2 linked regions of the Struthio camelus genome follow. The protein of the gene in region 2 purifies or fractionates together with the protein of the main gene of each other region. This does not show direct contact. Links are inferred from orthologs where the notes say so. Each region holds a gene or a part of one and is shown on either strand. Other genes may lie near its edges.

Evidence for each region. The genes of interacting proteins can lie anywhere in the genome.
Region 1: the proteins of INAVA (region 2) and CYTH3 purify together in Homo sapiens (co-immunoprecipitation; 3 studies listed by BioGRID and IntAct, counting the BioPlex papers as one, with this or other methods). This does not show direct contact. The link is inferred for Struthio camelus from reciprocal best matches to the Homo sapiens genes INAVA and CYTH3.

Annotation. Positions count from the first base shown.
Region 1 is NC_090956.1:9,140,527-9,148,265, forward strand, and holds the start of CYTH3 (cytohesin-3), read right to left. Parts: upstream 3,083-7,739; coding exon 2,966-3,082; intron 2,284-2,965; coding exon 2,219-2,283; intron 1,800-2,218; coding exon 1,733-1,799; intron 1-1,732. UniProt on the Homo sapiens protein: Promotes guanine-nucleotide exchange on ARF1 and ARF6. Promotes the activation of ARF factors through replacement of GDP with GTP. Plays a role in the epithelial polarization.
Region 2 is NC_090965.1:4,025,761-4,033,705, reverse strand, and holds the start of INAVA (innate immunity activator protein), read left to right. Parts: upstream 1-4,848; 5' UTR 4,849-4,888; intron 4,889-5,412; exon of another isoform or gene 5,413-5,455; 5' UTR 5,456-5,548; intron 5,549-6,345; 5' UTR 6,346-6,360; coding exon 6,361-6,406; intron 6,407-6,817; coding exon 6,818-6,933; intron 6,934-7,010; coding exon 7,011-7,130; intron 7,131-7,375; coding exon 7,376-7,604; intron 7,605-7,945. Other genes in the region: GPR25 (probable G-protein coupled receptor 25), read left to right, coding at 1-464. UniProt on the Homo sapiens protein: Expressed in peripheral macrophages and intestinal myeloid-derived cells, is required for optimal PRR (pattern recognition receptor)-induced signaling, cytokine secretion, and bacterial clearance.

The DNA.
Region 1 (7,739 bases), on a different chromosome or scaffold from region 2:
GAGAAAAATAGAGAAATTAGCTCTATATGTTCTTGCCAACGAGAATGTGTTAGATGTCTTTTTTATTATTTGTTTTTAAAGGAGAGAATTTGGGGAATTCAACACACGTATTGTTATCCCATTTCTTTCACATTCCTGTCTATGGAGACCATTTTCTCTCCCATTTAGGAAAAAAAAAAAAAAAAGTCCTTTTCCACAGTGATTCCAAGTTAATTCTCTCAAACATCAGAAGGACATATATTTTAGCTGCCTATAATTCAAAGTAACAGTTGCTAACAAAGAGATGATCCAGCTTTAGAGCAGCCAGCTCTTGCAGGCCACCACTGCTTCACAGACATCATTAAGGAATTACTACTGTAAGTCTATTCACCACATTTAAATTATGTTACAGGAGCAATGTGGCCACAGCATCTATTTATAGAAATAATTTCACCCACCAATAAAGACCAGCTAACATTGCAACGAAAATATTTGACATCATTCTGTGATTTTACCACAAACTTCTAGGAGGCAAAGGAGCTGGAGAAAACAACATATCAGGATATTTGAGGATATTCTGCCCTCAGCAGAACCAAAGTCAGACAGTCGCCAAAACAGACAAGAAAAATAAAAGACATGGTCAATGGCTTAAAAAAAGTTCTGTATCACAAAACACTAGAGTGCTTATGGTAAGTTGAAAATAGCCCCCAAAAAACAGTCGACATTATTGTACTTGGAACATCACAGAAAAGCCACCAAAACACAACTGAATTAAATACGTTTGGAAAGAAAACATGTCAAGAACAGACACAGGAAAACAAAGGCTTATTAAAAAATTCTGAAAGAGTTGTTAAAGATCCTTCAGAAATTCAAAATGAAATCCTAATGAAAACAACAGAAGGCAGTAAAACATAAAGCAAGAAAGCTCCAAAATGAAAAGTAAAGGTTAAAGGGGAAATCTAGGAAACCAAGTCAAATATATCAAAGCAACACTTTTTTTTTTTGTAATATATCAGAGGGAAGTCTACAAGAGAATGAGCAGGTCACGGAATTCTCAAGGTAAAACCGCTATTCAGCGGAGCAATGAACTACTTTACCTTTCAGCTAACGCACAGTAGCCTTCTTGAAACTGATAACCAAGTATCCACTTGCGGCTACTTACCAGTGGTACAGGTACGTATATATGTATGTGTGAACACGCGTGCATATATAAGCATACAAATCTATACACATGCATTATTCACAAACAGAATTTAGATAAGCAAATATAAGAGTCTATGTGAGAACAAATTTTGAAAAACATTATCGATATCTTAAAAGAACAAAAAATAGGGGGCAGACAATACATATGGCCTAGCTAGTAACCAAACTTCAAAATATTTTCATAATTACATTTAGCATACCAATACAAAACACCTCTATCAGGTGTAAATAATCTTTCTGCAAGCCAACTCAATACCTGGCATATTTGACCTTTGATAATATTTTCTGTTATCAAAAAAAAGTCTGCTTGAGTGAAAAAAGCATACATGACTGGCAAATGACCAAACGACTGCACCTAATTTAACCCTCTGCTCAGTATGTTAAAGGATAGACAAATAAGGCCTATGAATTTAACGCTATCAGACATGATTTCTTAAAGAAAACAGTCTATATTTGCCACAAATCACATCACTAGCAGGAACCTGAGTCCTGACAAGTTAAAAAACAAACAAATAAACAAAAAAAACACCACACAAAACACATGCTCTACCTTCTTAGGATCCATGTTGAATTTCTTCCTTCCCATAGCTACTTGCTTATTTCTTTGCGTAGCTTTGCTTCATATGGAGAAAAAGAAAAGGAAGAAACAAAAAGATTATCCCTTGCTCTTAGATAATTTCTGGACGAACCTCTTAACTTGACCGTTGGCTACTTTTGTATTTTCAATTACAGAACTGAGACATTTAGTTTTCACAAGGGGAAAAATATGTTACAATTTTAAATTATTTTAAGTGATCACAGCTTTAGAGCTGTATCATTATCAATAGAACAGCTGAAAGGATCACACTCTATCCAATATATCTATCACTTTCTAGCCAAAGCAAAGACACATCTGAATGGGATAAGACCTTATAACAGAGTGAAAAAAGGTGATCAAATGTTTGTTCAACATAATAAAGCTATCTGTATTTGCTGTTCCTGAAAGACCTGTTCCAACATCTTACTGAAGCATTCCCATATCGTTAGCATTACTTACCTTTCTTCTACGCTAGTCAGATTATCAATTTCTGTCATAACCTCGGCTATCTCAAATTTTAATCTCTGCCAAGAGAGGGAAGTAAAGTAAGTCAACCAACATTAAAGCATTTTTTGAAATTGGCTAGCATATACGGTTATGATCAATTAGTTTTTTTTTTTTTTTAATATTTACTAGTCATCTGAAGAAAAGTAGTGAACCTTCCTGAGATTCTTAGCTTAAAGATTTTAATTTGACCACAGCTGAATCACTGTTAAACACGTGGATCTTAACTCCCAGTGCGTGCCCAGGTCGGAACACCACAATCAAAAAATCCTCTTCCGAAAGCTGTTTTTCAGATTCTGTTCTGAATACAGATTTTACACCTATTATTCATCTGCTTACCTTCAATGTCACATTATTTCATGTTCTTTACCACTACAAGAAACATTAACCATTTCAATATAATTTTTTTTTGCTCAGATTTCTCATTCACTGCTACCCTGAATACAAAACTACTGTATATGAGATATTACACTAACCTAGAATATTTACATATGCACATGTTACATTACATACAGATATTAGCATTTTTAAAACATAAATGCTGCATAAATCCTTTTGATAATTAGTAAGATTTAGGTTAAGCCATTTAGATGCTTTTGAAAACATTACCTGCAGTTCATAACTAGGTAGAGGGAAGTGTTGCAGTGTACTGTAACTTAATCTACTGAAGCAGTCCTGTAAGAATTTTTAGAGATAAATTACCTCAATATCATCAATCAGTTCTTTTTTCCTGCGACGAATATTTAGCAGTTCTTCTCTTTCCTCTATGGAGAGGTCATCAGGCACTGAAATACAGCAAAAAGTACAGTCTTTCACCATTTGCAAACACACTTTACAGAAGAAAATCAGACTATGTCGATTAAGAAAAGCAAGTTTACAGGCAACTTCATGGCATTTTTTTTTTTTAGTCAAGATTATTTTCAGAGGAAAAAAAAGAAAGAAAACGGAATACTCACTTTACTGAAATTCTACTTTATAAATCATAAATTAGGTAATTAAATGAACGACTATGGAAAGAATCTGTCTTTCAAAGAAAGCCAGACAATTAAAGGGAATCTGTTCTCATATAATGGGTCATCAGATTTGGCTCTACAGTTACATTGCCAAATTCATGTCTGGCATCACTCCAATTGTTTCAATAACAGACCAAAATTCTCCATGTAAATTAAGTATGATTTAACACACATGCACCTGACTATCTTTTCAGGAAAAAAGGTAACGCTACATAAAACTCATTACAAAGACACGCATCCTGGTGCTGATTTCAGACGACAACATATTTTCAGGAGTACCCTTTTATTTGACTGCTTTGTACAGCAGATGCCTGTAAGTATAATACTACTAACATCTTTAACAGCGATTACTTCCCATCAGCAGGATAGACATCTTTCTACATTACAAATAAACAAACAGTTGGAATTAGTTATTTAGCACAGCATCTCACAAGCTTATGTTTTCATATAATATCATTTAAATAAGTCCGAAGTATTTAAGTCAATTTTAGATATCTTTTTGACTATGCTAAAACAAATATGCTACCATGTTGATAAAAATTACTTGCTACTGAAGATGCAAACACATTTCTGTACACAGCTTCGGCTGTCACTCACCCTAGCAGCAGCTCCCTTACCCCACTGTCTGCATCTGACAAGCAAACATGAAAAGTTGCTCCAAAAAACCTCAGCTTTTATTAAGCAATTGCATTCTCCCTAGCAAGAGGCTTCATAGGACAGAGACTACGCTCACTCACTTGCACAGCACTACCATATCAACCAAAAATATGCACCTGCTTTGCAACGAACCCATAGTATAATAGTTTTTCATGTGACTCACTCTCTTGGAAATTGCTCCAGAATTGCAGAACAACTTTTCCTTCAAGATTAGATAAAACAGAATATGTAAAACAAATAAAATTCTTTACCAACAAAAACATGTAAAAGTACGTAGTCATTTAAAAAGGCCAAAGTTGTTTCTTTATCTCATATGCCCGTGTCTAGCAGCTTCTAGCAACAGGATCAGGAGCTCAGACTTAGGTTTTATGGGATTTTTTTTAAAGATATATTTGAAACGTATCCTCTGTTCAAATCTTAACAGTGAAATATAGCGATTCTTTCTGGCAGCCAGTGATTAACCTCCTTTCCTCCTAGGAGTCTAAGCATAATATAAAATCCAAATGGCAACACAGCTTGTTAAACACAAAGTAATTATGCCAAATGATCTAATTTAACTCTTCCAGACACAAACGTAATTACATTACTCCCAGCTTAGGAAATGATAAAGTCTTTTGTTGAAAGAATACCAGACTTGAATATGTTTACCTGCTTTTTCCCTTCATCTCCCCAGAACCCTACCCATTCCTAAAAATTTCTTTCATGCAAATACTAACCGATTCTTTTTGCAAAACTTACAAATACATTTGCCTACCCCAGACATCACAGCTTTGTCTCACACGTACAGCCCAAGATTTTACATTGGCCAAACTCAAGAGATTTTCCTGACTACGCACACACTAGGTACACGCAGATACCACAGTCGTTCCAGTTACCTGACGACCTGACAACAAAATACGAAGCCTGTTACCTGAAGCTGATTATTAAGGTGGCAAGACGTGTATAAGCACTCAGCCTCTTAGCTGGGAAGTACGCTCCAGTATCCCTAAAGCGCTTTTGCAGTAGACGCAACTAGATTAGATTTTGCAGTATCAGTATTAGGAAGTGTTTGGGGCTTTTTGTTTGTTTGTTGGGGGCGGGGGGGTTGGTTTTTAACTTTTGGTCACAGCAGACGGTCTGGCAAATCTCATCTTCATTAGCAATTGGAAATACAAATTCAAACCTAAATAGACAATAACCTTTAAGTATTAAATGGTTAGTAACCATAGACGGTGCTCGATTTTTACTTCCAATCAAGTGACAAAAATCTTTGCAGCAGCTGCTCTTTGGGCGGCAGGATGCCGTCGCTCACCCTTACTGCGGTTTCTTTTCTCCAAGTCACTCTGCAGCTGAAGCCCACCGGGGTAAGGGTGTGGGACGCCTAGGACAAGTTAACGTCTCCTTGGAACCAACCCAAATGGCGCCACAGCAGTCTACCCTCCAGACAGCCACCGAAGAACAGAAATAAAAACATTTCAGTCCTTTTCCTACAGCACCCACAGACACTCTCCTGGGTTTTTTTTTCCATTTCCTCTGACAGTTCGCAGCAGCCACAGAGACATAACCCTCCTGATATGATTAATGATATTGTCACACAGGAAGGAAATAAACTAAACGGAGCCACGCCGCCGTTGGCCTTCGGAAGTCGCATCGAGGATCTATCTGCCAGCAGCAAGACGAGCGCTGTCTGCTGGCGGGACGGTTCTAAAGAGAGCGCTTGGAGGCGACGCCACGTCCGGACAACACCGTCACATGGCAGTCCTAACACCGAAGCCAAAAAAGGCTAATATCCCTTGAGAAGAATAAAGAGCCAGGACACAACTGGGTAAGCGTTAGGGTACTGCTTGGGCTTCTGCTGTAGTCAGGGCTTTATTTCCCCTTAGCCCGGCAGCCAGCGAGGACAGATCACTTCCTTGGCAGGACAGATCACTTCCTTGGCAGGATGCGCAGCTCCTGTCGTCGCCCCAAACTGGCCCGTGTGTGCAGACAACCGTGGGAGTTTGCTACGCGCTCACCCCCCTCCTATCATCACTGCCTCCCTTCTCCAGCGCTCCTGCTCGCGCTGAGGAGGAAACGGATCCATCGGAAAGTGAACCCCCCCACCTCCCCAAAAACTTTCTTAACAGGCTGCGTGGGCTGTCACAGACCGCAATTTCGGAGGCCTTACGGTTCTGCTCCAGGAGGCTGTGTGACCTCAGCCATGTCTACTGCCTTCTCCATGTTTCAATCCCCCTTCTTAAAACACAAATGCAACAACAGTATTTCTGTATTTCGGTGAAGGGCTTTGAAACATCAGCACTGTAAGGTATTTTTACCTTACCTGGAAGGAAAGGAACAGCAGAAGATGCTCAACTGTGGCTTAAAACATTGCTCATGCAAGAAGGGCACCACTAACATTACTTTTTGCTCTCGAGAATCTACTCTGCATTTTTCACTTCAATTATTCTTTGCTTTTCAGTGATCTCTAGTGATTCAAAAACACATGGAAAACAGGAAAAAACCCTACATTCTACTTCTAAATAAATAAAATGTTGCTTCAGTGATATCAGACCTGTTCCAGACTCAAACAGCAATTGGTCAATCCAACGGCAGTTTGAGGCGCCTTCTGCAACCCGCCGTGCAGCTACCGCAGCGAGAGCCAGCAAACCATGTTCGTTTTATTTATTCAAAAAAAAAAATTGAAAACCCACAATTGAGATGTTTGACACAAAGACTTATTTTACAGCTGCTGAAAACAAACGTAAGATCAAATATGGCCAAAAGTTTAACAGCAGTGCATTAAAACTTTCTTACAGTCATAAGCAAATATTGCAGGTACATGACACAAATATCCGCTCTGACAAGACTGCTTCCATTAAACAACTTTGACTCTTCCATAGCTAAAATACTCAAGTTTGTTGTTTAACCTTGTGTCCATATAACCCTTCGTACAGAAGGGCTCCTAGAGCGCACATTACGCATTTGTCCCATAAGACAGGTTTTCTAGCTGCCCTCTCTCAGTCACTTCCAAGTTTTCTGCGGTTCACCAGCTCTAAACACAAAGTAGACAGGATAGGAGGAGTCTGCACGAACATTTAAATAACAAAAAGGAACAAAGATCCTCTGGAGGGAAAAGTGTTACAGCATAGCGAACAAGCTGCGGGTGCACCATGCTTTCATGATGTCTTCTAGTCTTTAAATAAAAAGAATGTTCTATTGCTAACGCAACTCATTCATGCGACAAACCTTTTAGCCCGCGTGGAAAGCGTTTCAGCTGCTACTAAATAGGAAGTCAATTTAGTTACTGATCTTTCATTAAAGAGGAACAAAGTTATTGAAAGTACAAATTATACTCTTAGCCAAGTAGTAAAACAGAAGAACGCACAACAGCACATATATATGTATCTATATATCTATATATACACACACTCACACACACACATATATATAGTTACTACTAAAAGTTACCGAAATTTGAATAGATATCCCCAGTTTGGTCTATCTTTGTTCAATTACTGTAACTGATCTAAATGCATTTCATTGTATTTCTTCTAAACAAACATTTACTGGAATATGCACATTTAATACAGGTTTGTTTACAGTAAATGGGTTACCAAAAAACCTAAAAAAACCCAAAAACACCTGTAGTTTGCCATAGTAATTAGTGTTTTGTCCTGCAGTTGTGATGTCACTTTCTTAAATAAATTCGCTACTACTACTGACAACACAAGTACAGTATCCAAACAAGAATATTAACCAAAAACCCTTAAAGCTTATGAATACACAGTAAGCATCTATTTCTCTCTACTAAAAAGCACTGGAATCAATTAGCTTCTTAGGTGCTGACA
Region 2 (7,945 bases):
GCTCCATCTACTACCAGCTCCACAGGCACATCAGGCTGGGGAAGGGGATGAGGAACTCCCACCGGATCATCTTCACCATCGTCGGAGCCTTCATCTGCTCCTGGCTGCCCTTGAATGTCTGCAAGGTGTTGCTCTTCTTCATCGCGAAGGGGATGCTGGTCCTCTCCGAGGTGGAGGAGGAGGCCTTGAGGTGGGTCGTCACCAGCAGCACATGCCTGGCCTTCATGAACAGCTGCGTCAACCCCATCATTTACACCCTGATGGATCGCCATTTCCGGCGCCAGCTGCTGCCCCCGGCTCTCCGGGTGCTCTGCCTTTCCCCCGCAGAGAAGGGGCACAACATGGCCACGACGTCCTCTGTGACCGAGTCCAGCCTCATGTTCGGCGTCAGGACCAAGCCGTCCGCACCGCCGGGGCGCTGGCCAGCAGTGCAAGAGGAGAAGGATTGGGGGCCAAACGAGTAGGTCATTTGGGGAGGGCTGAGCTTGAGCAAGTGCCTGGGCTTGTCTACCTTCCTCATCTCTTCAAAGCATTGCAGAGAGAGAGCTGCGGGGCTGAGGGAGCGCAGGATGAGCCCTTTCTGGGGGGGGGGGGTTTCCTGGCTCCAGCACAGCCCTGCGCCACAGATTCGGATGCGTTTCCAAAACAGCTGCTAAAGTTGGTCCCGGCAGGTGAAGCTGCAGCTCCCCACACCACGGGTTCGGATGCTTTTCCAAAGCGGCTGCTAAGCTTTGTCCCTGCCGACTTCCCAGGGCCTGCCCAGGGCATCACCGGGGCCAGGCAGATGCCGTCGCAGGCGCAAGGTGACGGTTTCCCAGAGCCCAGACCCGTCCCTCCGCAGCCGCCATCATTTCAGACCTGCTGTGTGATTATGAGCTTAATTAAACCAAGCAGCCTTGGGTTAAAGCCATTGCGGGTGGCATCAGCCCCAGCACGTGGTGCAATTCCTTGCATCGATTCCACTAGCTGCTGAGTTTGTGTCTCGCAGGGCTATTGCTGCTTTTGTGGGATTGCCTCTACTTCTCAAATATATCGATAACACGGGCGGAACAACTGCAGCTGTGATCATACAACCCAAAACGGCAGCACTCTCTCTCTGTTAAGTAATCGTATGATAAAATGCTCTTAATAAGCTTAGCAGGTTAAAAGAAATAAGCTTGCAAGCAGGAATCTGCGTGCCCACTTTCAGCATTGATTTCGGTCTTATGAACAGCTATTTTTATAGCCTGCTTGTGGAATAAATATGTTTTAATGCTCAGCTGTGGTTCAGAGAAGCTTTGCCGAGACCGGGGCAGATGTCTATGGGAACCGCCGCTTTCGGTGGTGGCACTTGGCAGCCTGGCCCCGGGCCGCTTGTGGAAATTTTGAGCCACGGTTACTCGATTAGAAACCATTGCGCCGGGCTTTTTGAGACGGGCTTTCTGCAACCGTGCCCTTTCTGCCGCGGCTTTCCCGCGCCCGCCGATCCCGGGCCCTGGCCGACGCAGGACGGCCACCTCCGCCGCCTGCCTCCTAAATGCGCCGCTTTGCAAAATGAGCTGCCGTTTCCCAGCACACAGCCCACGGGGGACAGCCGGGGTGCCCGGGCGCGGGGACACGCGCTCTCGGAGGCGGCCGACGCATCCCGGCCACCTCCGCGCTGGCCCCGAGCGTGGGCATCGATGGGAGAGCAGCAGCACTGAGGCCGCAAGCGTTTCCCTTGCCTTCTCGCCCCGCGTTTTCCCCTGCCAAACGGCTCTAAACCGTTTTTCTTCCCGTTCACTTTCTCGCTACGCGGCGCCCCGCACTGCCAGGGTTTCCTGCCTTGACCCCCTCGAAGGGGAATAAAATACCATCATGCCAATGAAACAGCAGCATCCACGAGACACCCTCGGAAATGCCACCGTGCGCCAGGGACAAGTGTCACTGCTGGCCCACGTTTACCGTGTGAGTCCCCCCCCCGGGACCTCGGCGGGGGACGAGCCCTGGCAATGACACTTTCTGGGTGCATTTCTGCTGTTTAAGGCCGTTTTGCCCTGGGCCGTGCCCTCCGGGGTGGAAAAACCCAGCGGGGTGCGAGGACGCGCTGCCGCCGGCCACCAGCGCTGGCCAGGCTGGGCCGCGGTTTGGTTTCTGATCTCTGCATTTGAGTTAAAAACAAACAGAAACGGCTTCCCCCCGCTCATCAGAAACCTGGGCAGATGTGTGCCAGCCCCGGCCGCACCAACGGCCGCGGGTGACTCTCCCACGATGCAGGCGACAGGCGCTAAATAACACCCCCCCCGCCGGCTGACCTCGGCCATCCGTTTCCTTCCCCGCCGCAGCCCCGCTGCCCGGCACCGGCAAACCCCCCGCGCGGCCATGCCCGGGGCGCTACCTGTGGGGCAGAGAGCCGTGCGCGCCGAGTCCGGCTCCGGGAGCGAGCGAGGTGTTGCTGCACGGTTCCCGAGGGATGCACCGGCGTCTCCAAGCGGTGAGCGGATAAGAAAACTTTGGAGATTTGCAGCGGGAGCCCGTGGCCTTCGTGGGGCAGCTCTGCTGCCTGCACCCTCTCCTGCCTGCACCTCCTCTGTTTGCACCCTTGCCTGCACCCTGCTTGCACCGACTTCCCCTGTGCGTACCCTTGCCTGCACCCCAGCCCGCAGCCGCTTCCCCTGCCTGCACCCCTGCCTGCACTGCACCTGCCTGCACCCTCTCCTGCCTGCACCCCATTACCTGCACCCAACCTGCACCCTCTCCTGCCTGCACCCCCTTACCTGCACCCAACCTGCACCCCTTTACCTGCACCCCAGCCTGCACTGTGCCTGCCTGCACCCCCTTACCTGCACTCCCTTACCTGCACCCAACCTGCACCCCTTTACCTGCACCCTGCTTGCACTGCGCCTGCCTGCACCCTCTCCTGCCTGCACCCCCTTATCTGCACCCAACCTGCACCCCTTTACCTGCACCCCTGCCTGCAATCAACCTGCACCCCCTTACCTGCACCCAACCTGCACCCCTGCCTGCAATCAACCTGCACCCCCTTACCTGCACCCCTGCCTGCACCCAACCTGCACCCCCTTACCTGCCCCCTGCCCGCCTGCACCCAGGGGAGGGGAAGGGAAGCAGCGCAGCTCCCTGGCAGCACCCAGCGCTGCCCTTGCAGCGGCCGGTCCCCGGGGCTCCCGGCAGCCCCCGCCGCGCCGCACCGCTCGCCGCCCCCGGCGTCGCACCCACGAAGCACCGGCATGTCGGAGCAGGCCCCGGCCACACGGGCTCAGCTCAGGAGGAAACTCCCTCCTCCTCCTGCTCCTCCTGCTCCTGCTCCTGCTCCTGCTCCTGCTCCTGCTCTGCAGGCAGCAGCGATGCCGGGAGGCCCCCGCGGCGCCGGCAGCCAGCACCTCGCGGTCCTCCAGGCCCACCCGCCGCCCGGAGCATCCCTCCCCGGCGCCGCGGGCTGAGGCAGACTTTCCATCACCTGCCCCGGCTCCCGGCGACGCAGGATGTGGCTGGCGCGCCGCCGCAGCCCGCAGTGATTCATCCCGCGCCGGCTGTGAGCTGGCAGCAGCGCCGATCCCACGGGCCCCGGGGCAGAGCCGGCGTTCACCTGCCCCCCTCTCCTGGCCCTTCCTCCCTCTTCCCGGCCCCTTTTTCTCCCCGTGTGCTGCCAGCAGCTTCGTCGCGATGAAGACAACGGTACCCATGGCGATGCTGTGCCGTGCCATGTGATCCCATGCCGTGCCATGCTATGATGCACCGTGCCGTGCTGTGCCATGCTGTGCCATGCTGTGCCATGCAATCCACTGCTATGCAGTGCTATGGTGCACCATGCTGTGCCGTACTGTGCCACACTGTGCCATGCAATCCCATGCTGTGCCATGCCATGCCGTGCCATGCTATGATGCGCCATGCCGTGCCATGTTGTGCCATGCAATCCACTGCCATGCATGCACAGTGCATCCACTGACTATGATGCACCATGCTGTGCCATGCTGTGCCATGCTGTGCCATGCAATCCCATGCTGTGCTGTGCCATGCTGTGCTGTGCTATGCAATCCACTGCCATGCAGTGCTATGATGCACCATGCTGTGCCATGCTGTGCCATGCCATGCCAGGCCATGCCATGCAGTGCAGTGCCATGCCATGTCACGCCTTGCTATGATGCACCATGCCGTGCCGTGCTGTGCCATGCCATGCTGTGCCGGGCCATGCAGTGCAGTGCCATGCCATGCTGTGCTTTGCTATGATGTACCATGCCGTGCCATGCCACGCTGTGCCGTGCAACCGTACGCTCTGCTGCGCCGTGCAATCCATCGCCGCACCGCGCTGTGCCCCCGAGCCGGCACAGCCCCCGGCCCCCGGCGGCGCGGGGAGGGCAGGGAGGTGCCGCAGCCCCGGCTCGTGAGGGATTTCGCCCGGGAAGGTGTTGCTCACCTGCTCCTCCCCTCTGACTCAAGTCAAAACAAGTCGCCCGGTTTCCCAGGCGCGGGCAGAGGCGGCGAGTGGCGGCCGAGCCGGCGGCGCCCGGCCGGGCCGGCAGCTCCAGGTAAGGCATCGCCTGCGCGGCTGCGGCCCCCGACCCGACACAACTGCGCGAGCCACGCCGGAGCCGGGAGCCGAGCGGGTGCAAAGCCGCAGGCGGCTGGCGAGGGGGTGACGCTGCCTCTCCTCCCCTCCGCTCCCCCAGGCCACGACGGGTCCAGCCTCTTGCCGGGACGAGCCATTGCCGGGTGCCGCCGGCGCCGGCGCCGCCGGGGACGCGCTGGGGAGATCAGAGCGTCTCGGCACCACGCCGAGCAGCGAGGGTCCCGTGGGGAGGAGCTCTTGGTGCCCGATCGCCCCAAGGTTGGCTCCGGAGAGATGGGGGGAAGAGGAGATTGAAACGGCCCGGCCGAGGTGTCTCCCTCCTGTGCTCCAGGGAGGCAACAGGTACCCCCAAAACAGGGTTTTTTGGAGATCACGCAGGAGAAACGAGGCTGCTCATGGCCCTGCTCCGGCCTTCCCAGTCCCTGGGGAACTTTGCCCTGGACCGGATATCTGCCCGACACTGCCCTCCAGCTCGCGCGGCAGAGACACGCGTGAGGCCTGCGAGGCCCGGTGCTGTGCTGGCTCCTCCAGCCTCTTCCCGGGGGCTCTGCGGGAAATGGGGCGTCCGGGGGGGGGCAGCAGCTTTCCCACATCCCACTCCTGGAAAAACGCCTCGCCCTCCGCGCGGGAGGGAGCCGGGCGCCCGTGTGAACCCGAGGCGGAGATGAAATAAAAACTGGGAGAGGCGCCCAGCGAAACCAGCCGGGGTGGGAACGGGACCGTGACGGTCCCACGTGCCTCCCCCGGCCTGGCCGGGCTCCGGCATCCACGGGACCCCCTTTCCCGATCCGGACACCCCCCTTGGGCTGCGCCGGGGCGAAGCCGGCCTTTGCACGCTTTTGTTTATCGTAGGACCTACAAGAAGGCCGGCAGGCAAAGCAAACACTGACTCGCCTTCCTCCCCCGCAGCAACAAAGCGCCGCTCGCCAACCGGCGCGACGGGGTGGGAGGGGGCTCTGTGGCCCCGCAGGATACGAAGTCCGGCCGAGAAGGAGCTGAGCGGTGGGTCGCCGCTGAGAAACGGGGCGCCCGGCCTGGCGCTGCGGGGTGCCGTGCGTGGTGGTGCATCGGGAGGGAAACTGAGGCACAGGGGGGGCTGGGGGGGGTGGCTGCTCCTCCGGGAGCAAACTGCCTCTGGCCCCGGAGAGCTGCCGCCGGCCAGGGGCTAAGGGTGCGCGGGGGGGTTGCACTTGCGTGTGCAAGGCTGGGCAGGGTGGGGAGGTGCACATGCATGTGCAAGGCTGGGCATGGTGGGGGGGGTTGCACATGCGTGTGCAAGGCTGGGCAGGTTGGGTGCGTGGGAGGTTGGACATGTGTGTGCAAGGCTGGGCAGGGTGGGGGTGCACACATGTGTGCAAGGGTGGGCAAGGTGGGTGGGGTGCACATGTGTGCAAGGCTGAGCAGGGTGGGCGCATGGGAGGTTGCACACGTGTGTACAAGGCTGGGTGCATGGGAGGTTGCACACGTGTGCAAGGCTGGGCATGGCGGGGGTGCACATGCGTGTGCAAGGCTGGGTGCATGAGAGGTTGCACCTACATGTGCAAGGCTGGGCATGGCGGGGGTGCACACACGTGTGCAAGGCTGGACACAGTGGGGGTGCACCCGCGTGTGCAAGGGTGGGCACAGCGAGCGAGGGGTGCACACATGTGTGCAAGGCTGGGTACGGTGGGGGTGCACACGCGTGTGCAAGGCCGGGTGCGTGGGAGGTTGCACCCGCGTGTGCAAGGCCGGCCACGGCGGGGTGGGGGGGTCCCCAGGCGCGTGCGGGGCCGGACGACGGGCTCGGCGCTCCCGCGCAGGTGCCCCGGGCCGGCATGGAGCAGGCGAGCGAGACGGACAGCGGCGCCCCGCGGCGCTCGGGTGAGCGCGGCCGGCCGAGCGCCCCCGCCGCGACGGGCGGGTCGGGGCGAGGAGCCGGCCCCCGGCCCGGTGCCAGCAGCTCCGCACGACGGGGCGGGGGAAAAGTCGACAATTGGGAAATTCGGGATTTCCCCAGGTCGGGGCGAAGCAGCCGAGCGGGATGGGGATGCGGGGGGGGGGGGGGAGTCCCCGCGTGGGGTCGGGGCCGGGGGGGACACGGCGATGCCAGAGCCCGGCACGCCCCCCCCCCCCCCCGGCGCCGGCGGGTTTCGCTCCGGGGAGCGGCTGAGTCAGAGCGAAACCTGCCGCCGCCGCCGCCGGCTTCGGAGCATCCTCCTGGCGGCGGGGCGGCGGGGGGGGGGTCGGGGGGGGGGTCGAGATTTAAAAAAAAAAAAAAAAAAAAAATCACAGCTTTTCACAGCGCGGCCCGAGGGGACCCGGCGGCTCAGCGCAAGCGGCGCCGGGAGCTGGAGGCCCGGCTGGAGGTCTGCGTGCAGGAGCTGCGGCGCCTGTGCCTGCGCGAGGCGGTGAGCGGCGGCGGGCGGTGGGCGTCCGGCCGCGGTGCCCCCCCGGCCCCGGCTCAGCTCTCCCCGCTCTGCTCCAGGAGCTGACGGGGATTTTGCCCCGCGAGTTCCCCCTGCAAAGCGGCGAGAAGCCCCCCAAAGTGCGGCGGAGGATCGGCGCCGCCTTCAAGCTGGATGAGACCCTGGTCCTGCGCGGGGCGGTGAGACGTCCCCGCTTGCCCCCCATGTACCCCCCCCCCCAAAACCCAGCCTGGCCTCAGCCTTCGTTGTCACGCCGGCGCCCCTTCCTCCTCCTCCTCCCCCCCGGCCGCGCGCCGACGGGGTGCTCAGCCCCGCGCGGCCGCCCTGGGCACCCCGGGGCGCAGCCAGGTTCGGGGTGGCGGGTGCCGAGCAGCCGTCCGTCCTTCCCCTCCCTCCTCCACCCGCCGCCCTCCGCCGTCCCCAGGACCCGCTGAGCACCCTGGAGCGGGACCTGGCGCTGCAGCTGCAGATCGCCGAGGCCGCCCGCCGCCTCTGCCGGGAGGAGAACATCGGCAAGCAGCTGCGCAAGCGGCGGAAGAGCGCGGCGCTGAAGGAGGAGAGGAAGCTGAAGGAGCTGGAGACCACCCTGAACGAGTGTCGCCTCCGGGCCGGCTGCCGGCCCCTGCCCACGAGCGGCGGCACCGCCGCCGACGGTGAGCCTGCACCCCGGCGCTCGCGTGGCGTCCGGCCCCGGCGGTGGCTGCTGCAGGCCGGGGGACTCGGCACTGTCGTCCCTGGGGACTGCAGGCCGGGGTGCTGGGTGCCGTGCGTGCACCCCGGGGTGCCCTGGGAGGATGCGCCCTGCTGCACCCTCCGGGGCGAATGCACCCCGGGGTGCCCTGGGAGGATGCGCCCTGTTGCACCCTCCTGGGCAGAAGCACCCCGGGGTGCCCTGGGAGGATGCGCCCCGCTGCACCCTCCGGGGCGAATGCACCCCGGGGTGCCCCGGGAGGATGCGCCCTGTTGCACCCTCCGGGGCGAATGCACCCCGGGG